3 linked regions of the Pelodiscus sinensis genome follow. The protein of the gene in region 1 interacts with the protein of each later gene in a pairwise test. Links are inferred from orthologs where the notes say so. Each region holds a gene or a part of one and is shown on either strand. Other genes may lie near its edges.

Evidence for each region.
Region 2: the proteins of BMAL2 (region 1) and EPAS1 interact in binary tests that used the Homo sapiens proteins (3 or more experiments, as listed by UniProt). The link is inferred for Pelodiscus sinensis from reciprocal best matches to the Homo sapiens genes BMAL2 and EPAS1.
Region 3: the proteins of BMAL2 (region 1) and CLOCK interact in binary tests that used the Homo sapiens proteins (3 or more experiments, as listed by UniProt). The link is inferred for Pelodiscus sinensis from reciprocal best matches to the Homo sapiens genes BMAL2 and CLOCK.

What each region holds. Positions count from the first base shown.
Region 1 is NC_134711.1:120,033,944-120,041,672, forward strand, and holds the start of BMAL2 (basic helix-loop-helix ARNT-like protein 2), read left to right. Parts: upstream 1-4,478; 5' UTR 4,479-4,623; coding exon 4,624-4,714; intron 4,715-7,097; exon of another isoform or gene 7,098-7,729. UniProt on the Homo sapiens protein: Transcriptional activator which forms a core component of the circadian clock.
Region 2 is NC_134713.1:164,513,423-164,521,645, forward strand, and holds the start of EPAS1 (endothelial PAS domain-containing protein 1), read right to left. Parts: upstream 3,190-8,223; 5' UTR 2,770-3,189; coding exon 2,744-2,769; intron 1-2,743.
Region 3 is NC_134715.1:84,829,451-84,837,035, reverse strand, and holds the start of CLOCK (circadian locomoter output cycles protein kaput), read right to left. Parts: upstream 3,190-7,585; 5' UTR 2,266-3,189; intron 1-2,265. UniProt on the Homo sapiens protein: Transcriptional activator which forms a core component of the circadian clock.

The DNA.
Region 1 (7,729 bases):
CTCACCACCAGAACTGCCACCAGCTGTGAGGTGCTTATGAAGTGTCATCAACATTCTAACCCCTTCAGTCCTCTATTGTTTAAGACTATCCTTTGAAGCAAATGCCTTTTCAGATAAATATCTCTTTGTTCATTTATTCCTGCAGTAACAAGTTTGTAATGGACAGCTTTTGTCTGGATCCCGGCATACTTTCATTTTCCATTGTACCAGACAAACAACTAGCCTGCACTCATCCACATGTGTGAGACCTCAGCTTCCTGTAGGTTAATAGTCACTTGAGAGAGTACTTATGTAAGTAATTTCTCCTGCTTTAGCTCAAAGTAGATACGCCTTTTCTGTTTTTCACATTTCCCTTTTCACTTTGTAAATCAAGGTAGTGGAATATTTCCCCCTGTATTTTAAATGTGATGTTGTTTTGCCTTTGTAATGTGTCCAACTCCTAATAAGCCAATTGTGCTCTATTTAAATGCCATGGCTTTCTCTGTGGACAATAGCAAGAAAAATAAAATATAATGGAACCTTATTTATAAATAACATCCAGCCCCCTTCATTTTGGATTTGGTTTCCAGCCTGCTCTGGCTACACCTGATTGCCCACTCTGGGCTTATCTATGCTAGAGTGTTGAAAGAGGATATGTAAATTCCCATGGAATTTGCATAGGAATTTGCATATCTTCTTCCGATCTCACGTTCGAAAGCGGAGCTTTTGAAAGTGAAAGTAGTTTAGATGCGGCTTTTTCGGCAAACCCCCCTTTGTCGAAAAGCCGCATAAACCTCATTTTTTGAAAGCTCTGTTTTCAAAAGTGAGATCAGAAGATCTTTCAACACTCTAGCGTAGTCTAGATAAGCCTTCTCTGAAATTCTGCTGCCTTGGAATGTTTCAGCCCTTAAAAGTGCACAAGTTGTTTCAGTTCCAAAAGCTCCCTACACATACATTTTAGCAGCTGAAGTACAGTGATGCAGTGAAGACACTGGACTGATACTGGTGTTATCTGGATTTTTAATTCCTGGTTTTGCCAGTCTACCAATATAACCTTTGGCAAATCACTTAATCTCTCTGTGATTCACCTCCCCATGCTTTTTTTCTCCTCTGTTTTGTTAGTCTTGTTCATACAAGTTACTCTTTAAACTGAGTAACTCTGCCTCAGCAGATAGGGTGTATTAGATGACCTCTTAAGGTCCTTTCGAGTCTTACATGTCTATGGTGTCATTCTCCCATTATTATGTGTACGTACGGCACTCAGCACAACAGGTCTCAATATCAGTTTGTGCACCTATGTGCTAGTGCAATATAACTGAAAAGTGATAATTAATAATTGAAAGGCTCTGTCCAAAAGAAAAGATTTTAAATTGTCTGAGGGAATTAATTATTCTCATTTTTATTTGTAAAGGGAAAAGTCTGAGTTCTTAAGAATATAAGATTGACAATTATAGTTACTTATCTTTTTGTTTTATATTTAACTCATACAATTAATTAGTGGTATATGATAGTTACATGGAAGACTATTAAATTAGTTGCCATGTACTATTTAATGCTTTCACATAAGGCTGAAGTTGTGGAAAGATACGATTGCTACAGAAAACTTCATAATGTTAATGTGAATGTAACTTTTGGAACAACACTTGATGCTTGCAGTGTGCCTGAAGCAAAACACATTTGTAAGTGACTGATAAGTCTTTACAATGAATGAAAGAAATTTAGCTACTTTTTAAAAATTCTGGATAGTGCTTGCCAGTTTTTACACATCCATGCTGGATGAAATAAAATATTTTATGAATCCACACAGCAGATATTGACAAAATGTGCACAACCCACACTAGGAGCAGGACCCATACAAGGCTGTATTCACCACTTACATCTCGGTTTGACTGCTTAGGGTCCAAATCTGTATATAAGTATGCATATGAATGTTTGGAGGATTGAGCCTTAATGTAGAGCTTAAATTTTCCAGGGAACCCTACTCTCACTTCATGACAGAGTACAGAGTCTGAGGCTTTGTTGCCAAAAACTGCCTTTTGTCAACAAAATAGTGAGAGCATTTACACTGCAATGCGACTTTTATTAAGAAAAACACCCACTTGGAGACAAAAAACTTCCAGCCCTGCTACAGACTTCCCCCCCCTTTCTTTGTTGTTGACAAAGAGCCAGTGTGCATACTGCTGTTTGCTTTAGTAAGAGAACTGGCTTTTACCAGTATCTCACAAAGCCTGTATTGATGGCTGTGCTTAGTGTTTTGTGATCTCTGCTGCCCTACAGGCATGTACCCCTACACTTTCAAAGCTTCTGGAAGCATCCGACAGCTGAGTGAGCTGCTCTGTTTAGAGAACAAACAAAGAACAAATCATTGGAATGCTGCTGTTCTGCCCTGGTAGGAACACTGCAGCAGGCAAGCTGCTGCTTGCAGCAATGGGAGGGCCGAGGAGGGAGGAGGCTGGAGAGACAGGTGTACTGCTTTGACATTCCTCAGCACCAAAAGCTCACAGAGCTAAGACAGAATTGCAAGAAGTGCAGGGATCAGCTCTGTCTTCCCACCACTCTGCACTGTGGGATGCTTATCCACTTTGCTTTGCTCTGCTCTATCTCAGGGGTGGCCAACGGGCAGCTCTCGACCTGCATGCAGCTCTTTGGTTAAAGAAATGTGGCTCTTGTTCTGAGCTGTGTGCCCAGACTGCTCACAGCTGGCTGCTCTGCGCACGCGCCTAGAGAGAGAAGCATGTGGCGGTTCCAGGACCCAGGCACTGGGTTAGAGCTGGGAGGGGCGGGGCTGGCTGTAGGGGAGGAGGGGATTGGGTTAGAATGGGGGGCTGAGGGTGCCTGGCTCTGTGGGAAAGAAGGGATAATGAGTTAGAATGAGGGGGCTGAATCACCTTAAACTCAAAAGTCTTCATGGATGCAGAATAAGGCAGCCAACACAGATGTCATATTTAAAGTCCACGGCAAAAAAAATTAAAAATGAGGAAACCATACCAGAGATCAACAAGCTGGAGTGAAACAGGCACTTCAAATTGTGCTAATTTACTTCTCAATTCAGTTTAATTGTTTAAAAAAACCACACACGCATCACAGGAGATAATAGTGCACTAATGTTAAATTTAAAATATATGATGGGGATGCTTTTTTTTAAAAAAAGTGTGAGAATGTTAATGTATTTTTAAAGGTTTTTTTTCCCCTCAATTTGATGTTTGTTCCTTGCCCAGTTCTCTGAAGATCTACGGACTGGCCGTGAATTTTTTAAGTGACTAGAGACTTTTTAATTGGTTTTTATTTGAAGTGTCCTCTAATGTTATTTTTATCACTACATTTTGTGTACTATATCTATCTATACACAGATATATAAAAATAAATATATAACATGTGGCTCATTGCACTATATCCACAGCTATTTTGGCTCTTCGTTTGTAACTGGAGGGCCACCCCCATTCTATCTATTGACAGGGTGCTCACAATGTGGCCACGAAATGCCAACAATAGGAGGCAGAAAAAATGGTTTCATCTCCCAACCTTCCCAGTGTAGACACAGCCTCAGTGTTTTGGCAGTGGAGGTCAACGTGATTTAGGGAACGGCTATAGATTAGGGTTGTAATATCATAGTTGTAAGCCAATTAACGGCTAAGCAAATAAGTACAGGTTAATGCTATAGAATACATGTTTCCTCCCCTACACACACTTCCCAATAAATTTTTTAGCAGGCTGACCAGCAGTCCCTCTCAGTCCTGGCATGAAACAGATCTGGGACCTACCGCTGCTGCAGCTCTGCATTTAAAGTATATTAGGAGGCAGGCAGCCCAGCTCAGTTCTGGTTCGCACCAGGTCCGGGAGCTTAGACCCACCCTAGACAGGGGCTGCTGCCACCTCAGGCTGCTGCCTCTTTATCAGAGGCAGCAGCACAGGGTGACAGGCAACCGGTCCATGAGGGGAGGTGGTTTTTAAATTGGCTCCCCGCGGACCAACTCCCATCTGGCACCCTGCACTGCTGCCTCTGCTAAAGAGAGAAATGTGGCGTGGCAGGGTGCTCCTCCGGAGTGGGGCTGGAGCACACTGGCTGCTGGCCCCGTCCCCAGGGACTATAGAAGAGTCAATTACGGGATAAGAATTCTTGAGGTTACTCAGCTATTCGATGAAGTGATATTTAACATCCCTACTCTAGATACTCTTCCATCTGAGGGCCTAGAGAAGAATCTCTGGCTTTTTCCTTCTGTAAGCAAGTTTCTAGCGCTCATATTTGGGGGGGGGGCTTAAAAATGGGACTCACCTGCTTAAAAACGGGAGCTAAATAAAAGGCTCCTATGTGCGAAGCGGTCCGGATGTGAGGAAAAGGGGGGGGGGGCACTGACGACTTTTGCAGACTGGCTGGCCTGTGGCGTCGTTGTTCTCAGCCCCCGCAAGTGCAGTGCGGGCCAAGCAGGCGCCTGGTGCCAAGTCCCAGCCTGCTCCGGCTCCGTGGCCCTGGACTCCGTTGGGCTGCACGTGCGAGTCCGCTCCGCCCAGGGCACCTCAGCGCCCTTGCCCCGCCAGCTCTGAGGAGATCTCGCGAGAAGCGCGCAGTGGAGGGCGGGCGGCGCTAGAGTCGGGGCTTGACTTGGGCCAACCGTCCGCCGGGCCGGTGTGCGCCTCGCGCGCTCCATGCCGCTGGGGCCGGGCGCGCTGCTGCGCGGGGCGCTCGCCATGGCCCAGGCGGGGCCCGAGGAGGAGCCGCGGAGAACGGCGCCTGCAGGTCAGCGCGGGGGAGCTGGGGCTGTCCGACCGACCGACAGACAGACAGACAGACCGGTTACCCTGTGCCAGGCTAGGGAGCGCCTGCCTTGTCTGTCTGTCCATCCGTGTGTGTGTGGGGGGGGGGGCGGTTGTGCATTCCCGTGCGTGGGTGTCTGGAGGGGGTTGTGCAAGCGCGTGCGTCTTGGGAAGTTGTGCATTCCCGTGTGTGTGTGTGTGTCTGTACATAAACATACTTTTTCTGGGTGTGTTATCCTGGGCGGTTGTGTGGGTGTCTGCATTGTGTCCTGGGTGTACTTCTGTACTGGGATACACAAATACACACGTTGGCGGTGTGTCTTTCTTTTCTCCTGGGTGCTGTGCCCCATCTGTATCTTTGTGCCTGATTTTTCCCAATAGGTTATCCCAGTATCACCCCACTTTCCTTGAAAAATACACTGGATTGTATTCCCCTTCCACTATATTCAGAAGCCTGCTTTTTCCCAGGCTTAATAGCCACTCTCTGGCCCTGAGATCCTGCCAGCTCCTCACTTGCCCATGCAGTGTTTTTGAAGTCATAGATGAGGAAGCATTTGCAGCATTGAATTCTATTTTATTATTCATCCTATACACCCACACGCAGGTTTTATGCTAAATAGTCACACACTGATCTGATTTATTATTGCTGTTGTAGACACCTGTATTCAAATGAACTAGACTAACTGCCTTTTTTCTCATTTGTAATGTATTGGGTTTTTTTTTAATTTAGCGGTTGATCTACGCTTTCTGATCTACATTATTTTGCTTTATATAGAGTATGCGTGTAATATATCCAAAAGCTTCAGAGGGGTGGCCGAGTTAGTCTGTAAGTGGAAAAACTTAACAAATAGTCTAGCAGCACTTTAAACACTAATAAAACATGTAGATGGTATCATGGGCTTCTACCATGAGGTATTAGCTTTTTGATGTGCACTAATTTAAACTATCTTAAGTGTGATATTTCTGTTGTGTGTGAGAATAGGTTTAATGTTGTTTGTTCTCAACCATGACTCTCAGGAGCTGAGTGAGATTCAAAATTCACAGCAGTTTGGTCTTTTTCTGCTTTAAAATGTATATGTTGCTTCCTTCCCTGATTTTCATCTGAGGAAAGAAATAGATGCTTTGTGTCTGACTTTGAGAAGGGTGAGCGATTTACCATTCCAAATGTCACTTGTAGTTTGTTATGTTCATGCTAAGTCTTTTGATATTTTGGGCTGTGTGTGTGTGTGAGAGAATTCTAGTCACTTAAAAATAGGTCATCGGTTTTTTTCCCCCTGTTTGTCTCTTGGTTTATGGAAGCTAGACAGCATTTGTTTATTTAAATGCAGGTGCGATTTTGAAGCTGATTTTTGTTTTTGAAGCATGTGGGGTTTATTTTTTACCTTGATGCTTCAATGAAAATCATTTCAAAAGGAGGAAATGTATTTGAGTCACTCCCTACTCTGTGTACCTCTTGTAAGAAAAGGAGGAAACAAAAAAAACTCTCAAAACACTGGATTTATACTGCTCTTCACCTTACCCCCACCCTCACTGAGCAGCATCCATAGGAAAGATAGTTAATCATACTGTCACATATTTTATAGTAACTTGCTTCTTACTGTTTTCAGTTTCCACTATCAGATTCCTGATACTTTTTCACATTGGTTCTTTAAGATGTTAGACCAATTACAGTAGAAGTTGTTTACTTCTACTATTAAGTTATAAATAACTGTGTGAAAGACCGTAAACTTTTTAATCCTAAAATTGGACTAGGTTGAGACCAAACTTTTTTCTTATTTTTAAATTTACCCTTTCACATTATTAGTGCACTTGTATGAATTAAGAAAAAAACTAAAATTAGATTTTTGATATTAAGACACACATGCAAAGTGAGCTACAAGTGGGAATATAAAGGTGTGTGTGTGTGCGTGCGCACATATGCAAAACCATGGGAAAACAAGGACCATTGGGGAAAACCAAGAGCCAAAGGATATACTACTGAAAACTTCCTGGTCAAAATTCTGTTGATTTCAGTAGGTCCAGGAATTTTGACATTGGCTTCAGTAGAACCAGGGTTTTGCCTATAGTCATTGATATGTAGGATTTGCAAAAGAACAGCTAACATCAGTTTTCCTAACTGCCTAACGGGATGTTCAGGACAGGTGTTTTCTCAGTTTGGCTCCAAACTGTGCAATTCTTTGTAGCTTTCCCAGAGTAGGGATGTAAGTGAGTAGTTGACTAGTTGAATAACCGATAAATCTAGGCTTATCTGTTAATCTAGTTGACTGTTTGGATGTTCCCCTATATCCGAGGCAGTGGGGGTGGGGGAGCAGGAGGCGGTGCTGTGGGGGACTTGGCTTAAAAGCTGATTTTTTTTCCCCCCCCAGGACTGTCTCCGTGGCATCCCCAGCTTCCCAACCCCCACCATGCTGCTGCCTCTGTCCATGGCGGCCTGGGGTGGCCAGACTCCTGTGCACTGGGAGCCCCCACAGACAGGAGTTGCTGTGGCGATGCAGCCTCTGCCCGCGTCCACCCGGGTTGGCCATGGACACAGATTGCTTCATGGCAGCAGCCCCTGTCAGCAGAGGGTCCCATTGGATGGGAGCTACTACTGGAGCGGCCTCCATCTGCACAGACAGAGCTGCTGCCTCTGTTTCAGAGGCAATGTAGACCACAGGGTTTTATAATGTTTTATGTAATGTGCTTAATAGGTAGTTTGAGAATGAATGTTAAACAACTATAACTCTGCTGGCCACCTTTCTCTGGTTATCAGGGAAGAAGAGTCTTCTAGGTCCTTAATAAAGATGCATCAGGCAAAAACAGCTTGTGATTATTGTATCTGATGTCAAGACAGAAAGAGATCAGAAGGAGCCTTGTTATTCAGCATGGTTACATTGATGCTCTTAGGAGTAATTAGAATATATATTATGTTATAAAAAAAAATATGATGAATGAATTAAAAGTTTGTATTAGCAGAAGTTTTGTATTGAAAATAGATTGATACCTCTGGTATGGACAA
Region 2 (8,223 bases), on another chromosome or scaffold:
TTAAAAAATACAATTTACCCAAAACCTCAGCGGGGTAGCCGAGTTAGTCTGTAACAGGAAAAACTTAAAAAACAACAAATAATCTTTAAGGTTCCACTTGACTAACAAAATATGTAGAAGGTATCATGAGCTTTCGTGGGCAAAACCCACTCTCTTCAGACCCTGTAACCCTATACTCCGGTCATCTGAAGAAGTGGGTTTTGCCCATGAAAGCTCATGATACCATCTACATGTTTTGTTAGTCTTTAAGGTGCTACTAGACTATTTGCTGTTTTTTAAGTTTTTCAATTTACCTAAAGTTATCCTATCTCTCATAGTGTATCTCAGTCCATTCATAGTGTAGCTCAGTCAATGATTTAGAACTAGCGCACAAATTAAAATAGAAATATTAAATACAATTTGTAAAAGCTTAGCATATATCAGTAAATGAAACTACTATATATGAAGATATTTCCTTCGTAAAGTACAGCTTTTATTTATATGTCTGTATTCAATGACAAAAGCCAATCTTGCAAACACTGATAGTATAAAATAGCTTAAATATCTCAACACAGAGGTCAAGCATGCAATTTGTAATTATTTGGACAGTATTTACTCATGCAAGTACTCTCGTTGATTTCATGAGTTAATTGTCTGCGGGAGTTTTGGACTATAGTTCATGACTTCTTTCCTTTTGTTTCCACCAAAAACTTTGTATGAAGATTCAGTAGGGAAATTATTCTGAGTCGTAATTACGGAGGTTGAATACCTTGATTTCTGTTTTCTTTGGATATATGTATTTACTAAGATACAATTCAATCCCTACTTTACATCCCTTCTTGCAACAAAAATAAACATAAGAGTAAGATATACCCACCTAGCCCATAACTGTGCTCAAAACACTTCCAGAGCCCTCAACTCTTAAGTAAAACAAATGACAGTTTAAAAAAGACTCCATGTCCTTCACATCTAATATTACATTCTAGTATTTCATCAGATCCTCAAAATTATGATGCTGCCTTATAGACCCCTCAATAGGTTGAAATTTATCAGCAATATGCAATAAATAAATGTTAACATAGTTTTCATGTTGTCCATGTAATTGTAATTATTTGTTTTGTTTAATTATTTCCCTCTAAAACACCATCTTCACCTGAAATATAATAACCTAACTGACATTAAAGATAATAAATCTTCATGTAAATTGCATTTGCCTAATCCCCTACTAATAAACTAACTGAGAATTGGCAAGACTGGAGAACTAGTATACAGACCACAGTCAACAACGAGTATGTGCATGATTTGAATTTCAAATGACCAGCTATGGGAGCAGTTATGTATTTCCAATTATACTGTACATTCTTCTTTGTATGAGGATGATTGATTCCCCACCAGAAAACAAAGCTTTCCCATTTTGTAGAAGTTAGGGTTCTTTCCAAGGGAGAAGAAAGTGGGAGTAAATATAACAGAGGTGAGGGAAGAGCCTTCGCCTATGGGTGTCAGAGACCTCTTCAATACAGCCGACCAGAAAAGAGAGACCTGAATGTTTCCCAGTGCATCTCTTCAGAGCGCCGCTTCCAGGACACTCACTTCCAATGCAACTGAAGTGCAGACTCTCAAAACAAGAAAGAGTCTGACTCCACTAGGAGCTCAACTCCCTCGAACAGCAGCTGCCGCAGAGACTAGTCGGCGTTCCAGTCAATGCTTGGGCTAAATGTTAGATTAGATTTAAACCGACGTCACAAAAACGGAGAGTTGCACTTTTTGCCTATACACCGGATTCACAACAACTAGACTAAGTAACTGACATTAGCCGACGGCCCCTGCGCTAGCCGAAAGTCCACAGGGAAGATAACACACGGTATTTTGATACACTGAGACGGTGGATGGGGCTGGATTAACGTGGAATCTACTCTGGTATCGAGCATACCCAGCGGACACTTAAGTGGGGAAGCGGCGGCGGCGGGGTTTCTATAGTGTGTAGGCTGCATGTTTCCTTGAAGCTCCCATGGGCGCATGAGGGAACAGGACTGGATCCACACTACTGCATAGGCTACGTTTCCCTATCATGTATATGACATCACCAGGAGCTTCTGAAACCACCTATTTGGGATCACTCCTTCGTGCTGGGGAATTCCTTCTGCCCTAGTCAGCCCCCTGCTGTGTGAACCCCCGCTATGTTGCGTGTAACCCTTCCCCTCCCGGCTCTTCTCGAACTCCAGTCACCTTTGCGAGAGCCACCACAGACTGGGAAAGGAAGGAGCTGGGCTCCTCCACATTTGCTAAAAAGTCTTATGTGTGTCGCTGGGAGCGGTTTTCGGTGTGGGAAAGTGATCTGCGCTGTTTCGTCGAAGTGACCTCTGCCCCCGCGTCTGCGGCGATCAGCCAAGACAATTCACTGCGAAGAGACATTTTTTCCTGCCGCTACTCCTCTCGAGGCCCGATCCCGCAGGCAGGCAGCGGAATGCCCTGCCGTGAACTTCAAGAGAAGGCGGCTCGGGCTCCTCACGACAGTAGCTGCTGCGGGATCCCCAAGCGCCCGCTTGCAGCCCCAGCCGCTAGGGCCTGGAGCGAATGCAACAGCCTCACACTCGGAGAAGCAATAGAAGTCACCCAGGTGTCCTTGGGATGATGGTAATTTAGCGGAGTCCCACTAACCATGCACCCCCCGGGCACCACTGCTGCAGTGACAGTTCCCATTTTAATTGCACCTTCGTATCCCCTCCCCCGACTCTGTCCGCCCCCAGTCTCCCCTCCCGCTTACCTTTTCTTTTCCTTGTCAGCGGTCATTATCGCTGCCCTTCGTGCTGCTTAAACCAACTCGGGCTGCCAACGAGGGCTCCTCAGTCACTGCTGCGAGTCTCCTATTGCCTCCCCCCGACAGAAAACCGCCCGGCAGCTTAGAGATCACAGGCTTGGGAGCAGGAAGAGAGGCGCCGGGAGGGCTCGCCGAGCTGACAGCAAGGCTGGTGCACTAATTGTCCTCTAGGAAAAGGCTGCGGCTGTCCTGGCCAGGTCGCCCCTGAGCTGACCATACAGTCTCAGGACACTGCCGAGGATTGTACAGCCTGCCCAGGGGGGGAAGGGGAAGGGAGAGACCGGGTTCGCCCTGGAATCTGAAGCTCTGCCAGAAGAAAGTTCTCACTTTAAAACTTAAAGCTTCCCTGGGCTCCTGGGGGCAGGTTCAGCCTCTTTAGCCCAGTCACCCACTCCAGCTGGAGCTGTCGGCAGCTCGTTCTCCAATGGGGACGGGAGCTGCAGGAGCCCTCCTCCTGCCCCGCCCCGCCCCCGGCCACCACGGCTCCAGCAGCACTTGCCGAGACCAGGTCAACGCCGCGAGGGGCTGCGGGCGCCTGGGCGGGTGCAGGCCAGCAGGAGAACCCCGAAGAGCGCGGGGGAGGAGGCGGCGCCCCAGCCTCGGGGCTGCAGTGGCACGTTCTGCCCGGCGGGCCGCGGGAAGTTGGGAGTCTCTCCTGGCGCTGTAGGACTCGCAATAGCTCTGCCCACGCTGGGGAGAAGGGGCTGGGAGCAATTCCCTCCCCTCGGCAGCCCCTGCTCCCGGGCCCGGGGGCCGGATTTCTCCCTCTCGCCCCCCTCCCCCTCTTTGCCTTGTGGCCGCAGCGAGCTGGGTGCTCCCCGGGCCCGCCAGCGCTTTCCCAGCAAAGCAGCGCGGGGAGACGGGGCGAGATGGCCGGGAATGGCAGGGGAAAGTGGCCGCCGGGAGCACCTGTCAGGCCTGGCTGGTCAGGCAGAAACGTGACTGGGGCTGTAAACATTGGCTTTTGGATGGCTTAATGGCCCAGGTTTCTTCCCCCCCTCCCCCCCGCCGCTGCTTTCCTCCCTCCTCCGCGTTTCTGTGGGAGGGCGGGTGTATTTTGTATTAATGGCGTTTCTGGATGCACTTGGTCAAGAGGAGTCATCCTTCAGACACGAAAATCAAGCCGCAAGCCTCATTTGTGAATGGATGCAGGAGATGCCTCTCTCTTCCACCTTTAGCTGACTGGTTGGATAAGGCTTCTCCTCAGACCAGGAGCCTGCTGAGGTGATGATGCCTCTCTTTGGGAACAGCTATCTTGAGGAAGAGCCACCAAGGCATTCGGTGGAAGTTAGAGCTACACAGGCTCCTGAGCCTTTGATATTAAGATTAAGACATTAGATACTATGATGATGTGGGGTCATAGTTAAGTGATTGCTTGCCTTACCCCTAAGTGTGCTTGGTAAAATGAAGTCTTGTCCCGACTCCTCACTCCCAGCCTACAGAACTTGAAATCCAGGACTTTCTCACAAAGTATTGCTCTGGTTGGATTTATGCCGCATACAAAAAGCTAATGCTCTAAGCACTTTCATAAAATGCATCTGTCATATCAATAGCCACAAATCCAGTAGCTATTCCTCAAGCTCAAAACCCAAATTACTCAACCACAGGTTGATTAAAAAAATACCCTTCTCACAACTAATTCCCGGTGCTCATGATACCATCCACATTTTTCATTAGTCTCTAAGGTGTTGCAAGACTATTAGTTTAAGTTTTTCCAGTTACAGACTAACACAGCTACCCCTCTGAAACTTTTAAACCGCAGTGCTCAGTTAAGCTTCTAAATACTAGAAGTGCTCAAAATAAGGAAGGTAAAGGCAACTTGCTCCAATGGAGAGCACATCTGTACATAAGTGCACAGTAGAGGATACCATAGATGCTGGAACTAGGGGTGTATGAGGTGCTGCCATACTGTCCATAGTTATCATATACATGGTTTACAGTTTGATGTAATGGCTGTCAGCACCCACACTGTAAAAATTGTTTCACATCCTGGTGAATACTGGAGCATAAAACTGCAAGGCCCTCATTTTACTGATTTTCCTTTCTTTGGGCTTCTACATTTTGTTTCTTTCTTCTCTTTTTTTAAAAAGCCATTGTATATTTATTGACTTGTTCAAATAAAAACAGCAATAAACTTTAAAATTAAGCTTGCTGATATTGTCTTCTTGGGAAATAAAGTACTAAGGCTTATCTCTGGTGAACTTCTTTGGAATATTTTACCTTGTTTTCAGAATTAATTGTACAAACTCTGCTGTGTCAAACAAATTCGTTCCTTGTACCACAACCTATTTAATTATTTTAGTTTAATTGCATTCATAGTCTCTACATTTGTCAGTAGAATTTTTTGTTAAGACAACTAAAACCCAAAACATTTTTTCCTCAGAATAAGTCACTAGTTTTCCTACACTTCAAACTAATGGAAGCAATTTAGCATTTTGCCTGTAAAAACGATTTCTCTATTATTTAAATTTTAGCAGTCTCCTCCTGCCATATTCATATGCCACTTCAAGAAAGTTTGGCCAGAGAAGTATTTTTTTATGGAATATGTGTTTCCCTATTAGTAATAAATTCTGCTTTCATCTGAGGAGCGTTACCTGCACTTGTATAACAGCAATATGATTAGATGGTAACAGTTTCTTATACAACAGAATCTACACAAAAGAAAAGCACAAATATTTAAAACCTAAGTAAACTTGGTTAAACAGAATTTGTTTAGCCTTCAAGTGACTGAAGAATGCAGTAGGATCAAAGAACCAGTCATTCATTCTCTAGATTAAGTTGAGATCTTAGTCCTTCACTGATTTTTGTTGATGTCACTACTACTCTCTGTATCTGAAGATTCTTTACCTGGCTAAACAACTTGATTTGAGTCAGACAAGCAAAGAATTTAAAATGGTTGTATTTCAGATGCACAGTAAAATTCAGATATTTCAGGTCTTGCCCATTGGCCTAGTCCTAGTGACACTGTTCTAGATGCCACATTTATTGTTCTTTTGACTAGCAGGGGTTGAAAGTACAGGTGCAGCAACAAACTGCTCAACTGTGACTCCCCAACGTGACTTAGAAATGCTGATGGACTCCAAAATATACCCTATCTTCATGGTAGTGATGATGTTGCATTATCACAGAGATAAGGAAAAACAAAGGATTTTCAGGGTTGTCAGCCATGCGTAAATTCTCAGAATCAACAGGGAGATCCTGGCATCATGGAAATTTTGCCACTAATTCCAGAGGCAGCAGGATTTCAGCAATAATTTCCTATAAAATGGTTCTCAGGGTGCCAAAAATGACAGTATAAACAATTAGTTCTCAATACTGGCAAATGAAAGAGGGAACAGATGCTCCACATTTGATGAGATTGTTCCAATTTTCAGCAAACCCAAACAGTCAACTGTCGTAGGAGCCAAATATACTTTTCAGCACTGCTTATACGATTCACAATGGGAAAGTAAGGCACTCTTCAGTACACGTATATAAAGCAGTAAATTTCCACCAGACAAAATCCTTGCTGGAGGCTGGAATTTAGATCCAGAAATACGAAATTTTATTCACGATGCCTCGTTACTCTTTTATATTTTTGGCATTATTAGAAGTTTAAAAGGCCACATTTGCTAACAGCAATATCTAAAAAGATACCATTTCCCTGAACTTAAAATAGGAAATACTGCCATATTTCAAGTGTACCACTGACTGTTTTACGCAACAACCACAGTTGCTGTGTAGAAATTAAGAAATGTGGTATGCCGTGCAACAACGTGCAGCAATAAAACAAAAAGACCAAATATTAAAAACATATAAAAGTCAGAAGAACCAATGTTTTGGTTCGGTAATAGCAGCTGGACCTTTTTGCATAGATGGCATTTGCATTACTCTATAAGCTTTTATGATGTCACATATAGGTGCAGTATAGTCAGATTAGGAGTAGCTGGATCAACGGCTGGGGAAACATCCAGGAGAGAGGATCTTCCATAAAGTGACCTTTGTGGAGCTTTGTCAGTGCACTCTCTTTAAACAGACAGCAAATAATAGCCTGCTGTGTAGATGCGGACTCATCTTTTCTTTCTCTCCCCCTTGCCCAACCCACCCTGTGGCTGGAAGCACTTTGTCCCTTCAAAGGGTATGTCTGCATAGCAGTGTTATTTCAGAATACCTGACATTATTCCGAAATAACATAGTCCCAAATCTACGCAGCATGCCACTATTTTGACATAATATGAAAATAATGTCTAGCTGGAGGACTTATTACTCCAACTCCTGTAACCCTCATTTTACGAAGAGTAAGGGAAGTCAGAGGAAAAGTGCTCTTTCTCGGACTTCCTGCTGCATAGACAAGTGCCAAAAGCCAAAATAAACTACGTACCTCAAGTTGCGTAGCTTATTTCAGCTTTAGCCCTGCTGTGAAAATGTTATAAAAAGGGGTGGAAGAGTTGAAATAAATGGCATACTGAAATAAAAAGAAAGCCATGGAAGTCTAACTTGTTTTTAAACAATCCACAATGAAATAGACAAATTTGAAATTCCTATGGGTTCCTAGATACTAGTTAATCCCAGCATACCAAAGTAAGGTAAATACATACTTTGAGAACACAATTTTATGTAACCAGTCTAATCAATGTATGCAATGTGTTTATTTTAACAAACTAGTCTCTGAAATACATTTTATTTACAGCATTCCAGAGATAATACATGCTAACACAGTGTATGTATTTGCTTAAAATGCTATGGAAAGTCATATCTACACATTATTTTCAAACATGTAATGATTCTGGGCCACTACTATAGAATGTTGAAGCCCCGATCCTTGAAGGTATTTTGCCTCCTAACTCTATAGAAGTTAGAAACCCAAGTATTTTTGAGGATTTTGTCCTAGTGCCCCCATGGAGAGCTCAGCACCCACAATTTCCACAAAGTAAGTGAGGTTTTAGGACACACAGTGCTTTGTAAGATGAGCCCCTTCAGCCTCTTCTTAAAAAAAAAGTTCTAAACCACAGTTTTTTAAAAAACATATCCACTGCACATTTTTCACATGGGCTTACATCCATGAAAAGCTTGTTTTGGCTTGTTTATTTGTGTTTGTTTGTTTGTTTGTTTTTAAAGACATTTGCATTAGTCAAGTTCCAAACCATGTAGAAAACTTCTCAATGTCTTAAAATGAATTGTGAATCACAACTTTACTGCCAGGAGCACCAGGGCTGTGCCCTGAAATCCCCACACATGCTTTCATTTTTAATTTAACTGATTCTGAGTGGCTTAGGGAGATGAATGCTTCTTGGATTAATTTATTTTTGTCCCCCCATGCATGCCTTTTCTCACCTCATCACTATCAAACAATGCAACACTGTATCACAACATAATGTTGACATCTGAAGTGCCAACCATAACCCAATGAGCTTTTCTCTGTTTTTACTGCTTGTGGCAAAGACAAG
Region 3 (7,585 bases), on another chromosome or scaffold:
CCACTGTGCTTGACCTTTCTGGAATTTTTAGATACCTGGCACACTTGGGGATTAGGGCATTCCGGTTAACACTGGCTTTACAGTATTAGTACCATATAAGCAAAGAGAACCAAAAATACACCATCCAAAAATAAAAACATCTAACACCCAGAAGGAGTAGCCAGATCAGGTGAAATTTGGAGCCTCGCAGCCACTGGGGGCTCAAACATTAACACTAGTAATCACCTATTATCAATAGAACCTTCGTAGTGTGTTCTACCTGTAAGTTGTCATTCACAGTTGAACCCTTATACGAAACCCCATGGACCTCATTGAGGCACTGCACAAGAATATCAGCCTACAACCACATAAGCAAAGTTTCAAATAACCACACTTTAACATACTTAAATTACATATAGATATTAAATTAGTCACCAGAGGGAGTTTAAGTAATCCTAAAAAATGTAAACAATTTACAAAAAGTAAAACACAAATATGCATAAAATGACAGAGCTTAAATAAAACATCCATCCTCCATTACATGTAAAGTTGAAATAAGCAATAAGTAAGAAGCAGGTGTGTTATGTTTGAGCCTAGCAGTTAAACACAGGCCTGAAAAAAATTGTTTATGCTATTTTAAAATAATTCAGTCCAATTATTTCCTGAAAAAATGCGCTATTAGAGCACGATCATTTGTTTTCAACAAGGTTCTCAGCAGTTTAAGACCAAGTCCAAGATGCACAATAGCATCACATTTTAAAAAGAACACCTAGTGTTCTAAAATATGAGACTATATATTATTTTTCTTTGAATCTCCATAATGCTAAGTGATCTCAGAAAACAAAATGTTTCGAGTGTTTAACAACAAAAACCTCGAATTAAAATAGCTTTTAAACAAAAATTCTCCTTGCTTTACTTAAAACTCCAGTAAGGAAGCAATGAGAACCGGAAAATGAAACTGATTATAAAATTCACCTAGTATCAATTTCCAAGTTGAAAGAAATGCAGAAAGAATGATAAGCAATTTAGGTACCTGTACTACAGTGCACATGCTTAATTGTTTATATGCATGCCATTCTACTAAAACCAGTGTTTCTACTCAGATGTTTGAAGTTAAGCATGCACCTAAATGCCAGAAGGATGGGTGAATAATTTTCACTTTTAATACTTTTATTAATAAACACTGCTTAGACATCATGCTAAAACTACATTAAACAAAATAAAATGTAGATATTTATTACTGTAGCTTTAACTTTACACTGTTATAACAGGATTTAAACAGCGAATTCTCTGTAGAAATCGATGTACAAACGTTAAGTATTACAATTATAAAATATGTGACTCATGTGGGATTGAGAGATAGATACTGCAAGCTCATGCAGGCAAGTGGCCGCTTCCCGCAGGCCAGCAACTTCATTTTATGGAACTATTGCTTTCCAGGACTAGATGCACGAGTTGCCAAGTGTCAGCTGTCAGGTAACTTCTCACACCAGTGCATTTCATTCTAATTTACCAGCGACACTAAGAACATCACCGCCTTGCCAACAACAGGCCATCGACTACCACCAGCAGCCCGCCGCCTGGTTTTATTGTCCACCGAGCACTGCAGCCAAGAGCGCTCCCGGCGCTACGGCTGTTGCGGACACGAGGGCTCCCCAGCCAGCAGGGTGCTGCGAGGTAACCGCGCTATGCGCGCTGCCCCGCCACACGCCAGGCTGTAAACAACCAGCCCTGGCAGCCGGAGAGCCCAGCCGACAGCCGGGGCAGTGCGGGCAGGGAGCGCCGCTCCCGGCTGCACCGACCGGTCGAGACACCGCCTACGGCTCCAGCCGCGGGAGAAAGAAAACAAGCGGGGTCCCCGCTCCAGCCCAGCCCGGCGCCGAGGCGCCGTTTCCAACCCGCGCCCGGCCAGGTGGGGATCTGGCGGCTCGGAGGGTCCCGCCCCCGCCCTGGGGGCGGCGAATGGAGGCAGCAGGCGGGGCCCAGGCGGGCACCGGGCCAGCCGGGCAGGGCTCCAAACGTGCTGGGAGTTGTGACAGGAGTAAAGTGGGTCACAAGGCCTAGCGGGTCCCTTATGAAACAGCCCCTGCCCTGCCCCGCCAGGCAGCCCCAGCCCGCGCCCGGCCCCAAGGGCAGCCGCTGCCCTGCCCACCCCCCGCCGCTGCCCTGCAGACGGGACCCCGCCAGGACTGTCAAACTTTAATGGTTCCCCAAGCCCCTGCCCGGGATTTGGGGGGCCCCGCCCGGCCACAGCCGCTCCCCCTGCCCCGGCAGCGCGCCCCTTACCCGGCTCCGCGCGCCGCCTGGGGCTACTCGCAGTGTGCGGGACTCTGCTTCCTGCGCCTGGTCCCAACCCCACCGACAGCCCAGCGCCTCCTCCAGCAGCAGCCAGGCCTGTGATTCCCTCGCCGCCAGCACTGCGCATGCGTCGCCAGAGCCTACCGGCAACAGACCGGCTAAGCCCCGCTACATTGCGCGTGCGCCAGTGTATACTACAGGCCGCCGCGGCTGGGCTCGATTCTCCTTCGCAGCTACTGGGCATGCGCAGTCCCCCACGGCGCCTTGTGACTCCTCTCCACTTTAGCGCCTCCCTGCAGCGGCGCCGAGAGCTGCTACGCGCTCGCAGCGGGACCCGGGCTCCCTGACCTCACATCACCCCGCTAGAGAGGCGGGTGGCTCGCGAGGAGAAAATGGCGCCTTTGCGCCGGGCTGCGCACCTAGAGGCAGTGGCTGCAGGCCAGAGGGCGAGGTCCGAGCGGGTCTCAAGAGCTGCCTCGCACGTCACCCTGCCCAGCACCGTTCGCTCCTAGAGGCGGGTCTCCCGGCCGCCCCCGGCTCCCGAGTCAGCGCGTGCGGTCAGGAGAGCGTGAGGCAGCGGAGGGCAGAGCCCCGGTGAGCCCGGCTTAGGGACTGCCCCGCTCTGCGCCCCCGGAGGGGCGGCGGCCACATCTCCGCTGCCGCCCACCAGCGCATCTCGGTGGGAGGAAGAAATGGAGACGGCGCGGGGGACCCGCTGCTTGGCAGAAAACAGCCGGGCACCGCGTAGCCCGGGGCTGGCCCAGAGCCACCTGCAAACCCTCAGCCCTTCACTGCAGCCCTGTCTCTTCCGCCGCCCTCGCTGTGGGAGCCGGGTGCTTCGCTACCGTTAATAAACCTCCCCTCACATCAGCCTTGGGTGAGAAGCATCATTTTATCCGGAGGTGCAGTGACTCTCACCGCCATGGCAGGGCGGGAGGCGCAGAAGGAAACTACAAGCTGCGCTAAGAAGGTGCGCATGCCCAATAAGGAGAGGGGTTTTTTTTTGACAACGTTAATCACCGCAGTTACCCTGCCAAGAGAGAACTGATATAACAACATTTTATACGGTAGATGATAATACGGCAGGTCTTTCCCTATAAAACAGCTACATTAATGTAAAGTACCTATATATAGGTATAACCAAGCCCCTGGTGGGAAACAGCAGGGAGTTGTACTGCTTCCAGTGTACCAATATAGTTAAGTGCTACAATTTGTGTGTATAGTCTGAGACCTAAGCAACTTGCTCACCCACAATCAGGAAGTCTATGGCATAGTAGGGCATTGGGCTCCAGGCACCTGACTCCTAAAACCTTAACCACACAAGTGAACACTACTTACCTGGAACTGGAGATCTTCAAGGTGGACTCTGCTTATTTAAATTCCTGGACACTTTCCTAATTTCTCAGGGTCCTAATCTTGACTCATGGAGCAAATAAGGAACTGAGGTGGCAGGTGTCATCACACTGTCTTGAATAACCTTATACTTAGCTTTCTGTTCCAGTTGGCCATTAAAACTTCTTTTATAATAGCCTATCATGGGGTTGATCTTACTACTGATGGATCCCAGGCCACACTCCAGTTCTGGACTCATGTCATCCCCCAACCACAGCATCTTTCAGGACACAGCCCTCCAGCATTGCCCACTACAGTTGTCTCATCCCCCGTCCAGGAGTTTATCGACTGTCTGGTGTCTCTGCTGTCACAGTGGCCAACTGTGGCCTCCAAGCCTAACCCCTCATTCCGGGGCAAGCCACAGTCTTTCCAGGCCACAAAACAACAATGGCTAGACTTTTTGTGCAATGGGGAGGGGGAGAACCAGGCCCACCACCTACTCTGGGTCCCAATCCAGGGAGCAGCAGCAGCCTTGTCCTGCCCTCCTATACCTCTCCTCCACTGCCTTCTGTTTCCAGGATCATTTCCCCTGTGACTTTTTGCACCCTCCTGGCAAGGCCAACTGCCTGGCAAGTCTAAGGCAGGAGCCTCCCTCACTCGGTACTGCTCTATTGAGGGTGCTTCTCCAAAAACAAGGCCTTGTATCTTCCCCAGTAAAAGCCTAACTGACTTTATCTGCTTGGTAGCCCCAGCAAACCACACCCTAATTGTCTACTTTAAAAATCGTTATTGTCCAGGGCTCTGTGCAGGATCCCGCCAGCCTGCATTAATTCCTTCTGGACAGTATGGGGTAGTTGCCCCACCACATAACCATAGCACCTATTTGGCCAGTTTGTGAGCTATATGCCCTCATTGCTGACCCACAGAAACAAGGAATACTAGAACTAAATCATACACACAAACACATACCATTTGTATTTTATTGGGAATTTATTTGTTAAATCAGGCTTGTACTAAAAGGCATAGAGTCTTGAAGAGTGATGCATTGCAAAGTTCATCCACATTGCACTTCAGACATTGTACGTCCACATCATCAACATAATTTTCTCCCAGTACATTTTCCATATGATGTTTCATTCTTGCAACTAGGCCCTGCATCTTATTACATTACTTACACTTAACATGTTTTCCTTTTTTACCGAGGGAATGAATTTCTTCCCAATATTCCCAGATAAGGTCTTTTTTTATACCCAGAAGCCATGACAGTTTTTCTGTGGCAAAAGTGTAGGGGAATTTAGGAAGTTGTGTATGTGCTGAATAATGTCTTCCCTTTTTCTTTTCCAGTCAACTCAACTGTTCCTTTCTATGCTGCCTCTATTCTTTCCTATAGATTGTCTCTCTGTCTTTAGACCCGTGGTCACCAACCGGTCGATCGCGATGGCCTCGACCAGTCAATTGCGAGGCGTTCGGGCTCCCCCCCCATTTTTTCCCGGCCCCCAAGAAGCCCCACTTCCCACCTCCAGCGACAATGGAGGTAGTGCCGGCTTCCCACAGGGTGGATGGAAGTCCTGCAGCTTCGCGCCACTTCTGGGGGTTCCAGAAGTGTGCTGTCTGCTCCACTCCCACAGGTCTGTGGCGTGCTGGGTGCGCTGCGGGAGGGGGCGTCAGCCCTGGAGGAGGAGCGCGGCGGCTTTCCTGCACCTCAGCAGGGATTTCCCTGCACCGCAGGGGCGGGGGGAGTCGGCCCCAGGGCAGGCGCATGCAGGGCTTTCCCCACACCACGGGAGGGGGGAGTCGGGCCCGGAGGAGGCAGTACATATACATTAAACTATCAGGAGACAAAAGCTGAATAATCTAAAGTAGCAATAGGAATCATGCATTCTGCTATAACACCAGAAGCTTGATTTTACTAACTACAATATGTTGCACTTCTGGCTTTAAGCTAAAGAAAGTGCTTTACAAACATTAAACATCTCCTCCATGTGAAGGAGGTAGGTTTCTTGCAGTACCTGCTGTTTTTGAAGGTCTCTCCATCTTGATCCAACTTGGGTTCTGCTACCTGACAAGATCAAAATACAAAGTAATATGGCTGCACAAACATGCTATTACATTTCCCCCAATGGCTCTTGCCTTGTGTTTACTACTGTGCCTTGAAAGTGCAGTGTAAAACATTAAGTGCCTAGTAAGTATTTAAACAAGTGGAAAATGTTTTAATACATTTTTTAAAAACGTATTCATTTGCTAAACAGTTATGTTAACTGGTAAAAAATTATACTACTTAAAGGTGACTTGCAAAAGAGAGAATACTAATTTATTTAAATGATTAAACATTTCAGGTCTTATTTATATGAATATATTATACTCTTCATTGTAGAAATACAAAAAGTATTTTTACCTAATATTTCCTGCAATACTCTAGAAGACTGAAGACTCTAGAAGGTTTATACAGAGAAGCTCTGCATAATTCCCTAGCTGAAATTGGGCTTCACTGAGAAAGAAAGTGACAATTTAAAGCAGGGCTATTCAAATATATATGCAAATAGCTTCCTTCACACTGATGGGCATGAATACAAAGATTAAGGCAAGACTACACAACACACAGGCCCCATTTAAGTGAGTTCTGCAGATATTAATAAAATGCAATATTACCCAATTTTCACCCATATGATAGCATTTTTAATGAGCAATGACAGTCCAGGAATTTAACTACTAAAACGCATATCAACAGAAGACCATTATACTGACTCGTCGTTGTGGAGTGTGTTCCCAGTGTAGGCCGTGTTCAAAGGATCCCACCCTGCAGGCCACATGTTGAGCCCCGCGTAAACCCAAATCGCACCGTGGGCCACAAACAAACGTGTTGTGTAGCCCTGATTTAAAGATTCATTCATTGCCTCAATTAAAAGTGAATAAAACTCCCAGTCTACATCTTTGCATCATCCAAGAACTTTGCCAGCTGACTTATATTTCTGAGTTAAGAAGAAAAAAAAAACCAGGAAAATCATAATTAGCAAAAATGGTACAAAGCTCACACACTAAAAAAAATGACTTACCCTTTCATAACTTATTCTTCAAGATGTGTTTCATATAGCCATTAGATGGACATGTATAGCCATAGTGGTGGCCCACCCACCCTGGCTCTTCATGCTCTGGATGGAGAATATAAAGGGCAGAGTCATCCTGAAACTCCTTCAGTTTCTTCACACCAAAATTCCAAAGATAGACTGATGCTTTGGAGGAAGAAGGTGGAGCAACACATCTCAATGAACACATCCCAATGAACAGCAGTTCTTCAAGTTATTGGATGTGTCCATTATATTGTGATTCCCAAATTATTATGAAGGTGATAGAGCAGGATATGAGCAAAGAAGCCTTGCGACAAAGCTAGAGCTTTAGTGGAGTAGGCCTTGATCAACATAGGGAAAGGCTGGTGATATTGTGGTGGGGGAAAGGATAGTCAGTGACTTCAGGCTCTAAATTTTACATCCCTAATTCCAAAGGAAACTAAAAATATGTTTTTTCTGGAAATAACTGAAGAAAGAGCTGATGAAAGACAGTTTAACTAAGTCAGTCACCATCTGATCATTAAAATAAGTGTCTTAAAGGAAAGCAATAGTGAGTCTTTGGGACTCATCTTGAATACTAATAGAAAAATGTCCAAAACACCCTGGAGTGAGAGAGATAAGGCACTAATACCTCAGATACCAATGGGCCGTTCTTAGCTGCTTGCATAGAAAGTGCTACGAGCTGTGATGCGTGGAATGTATGAGCAAACCCACTATGAAATTATTTAGATTAATATGTGCAAATTTATTAATGTATTCTTGAATCAAATTAGCTTCAGGAAGCAGCCAGTAGGAAGCTGTCCATCCTGTTAAGTTTTCGCTCTCTCATTTATCTCTACAATCATACAGGTGCTGACTGGAAACTGAATGCTGCACATTTTTGCATAAATAGTCCATGAACCATCTTAGGT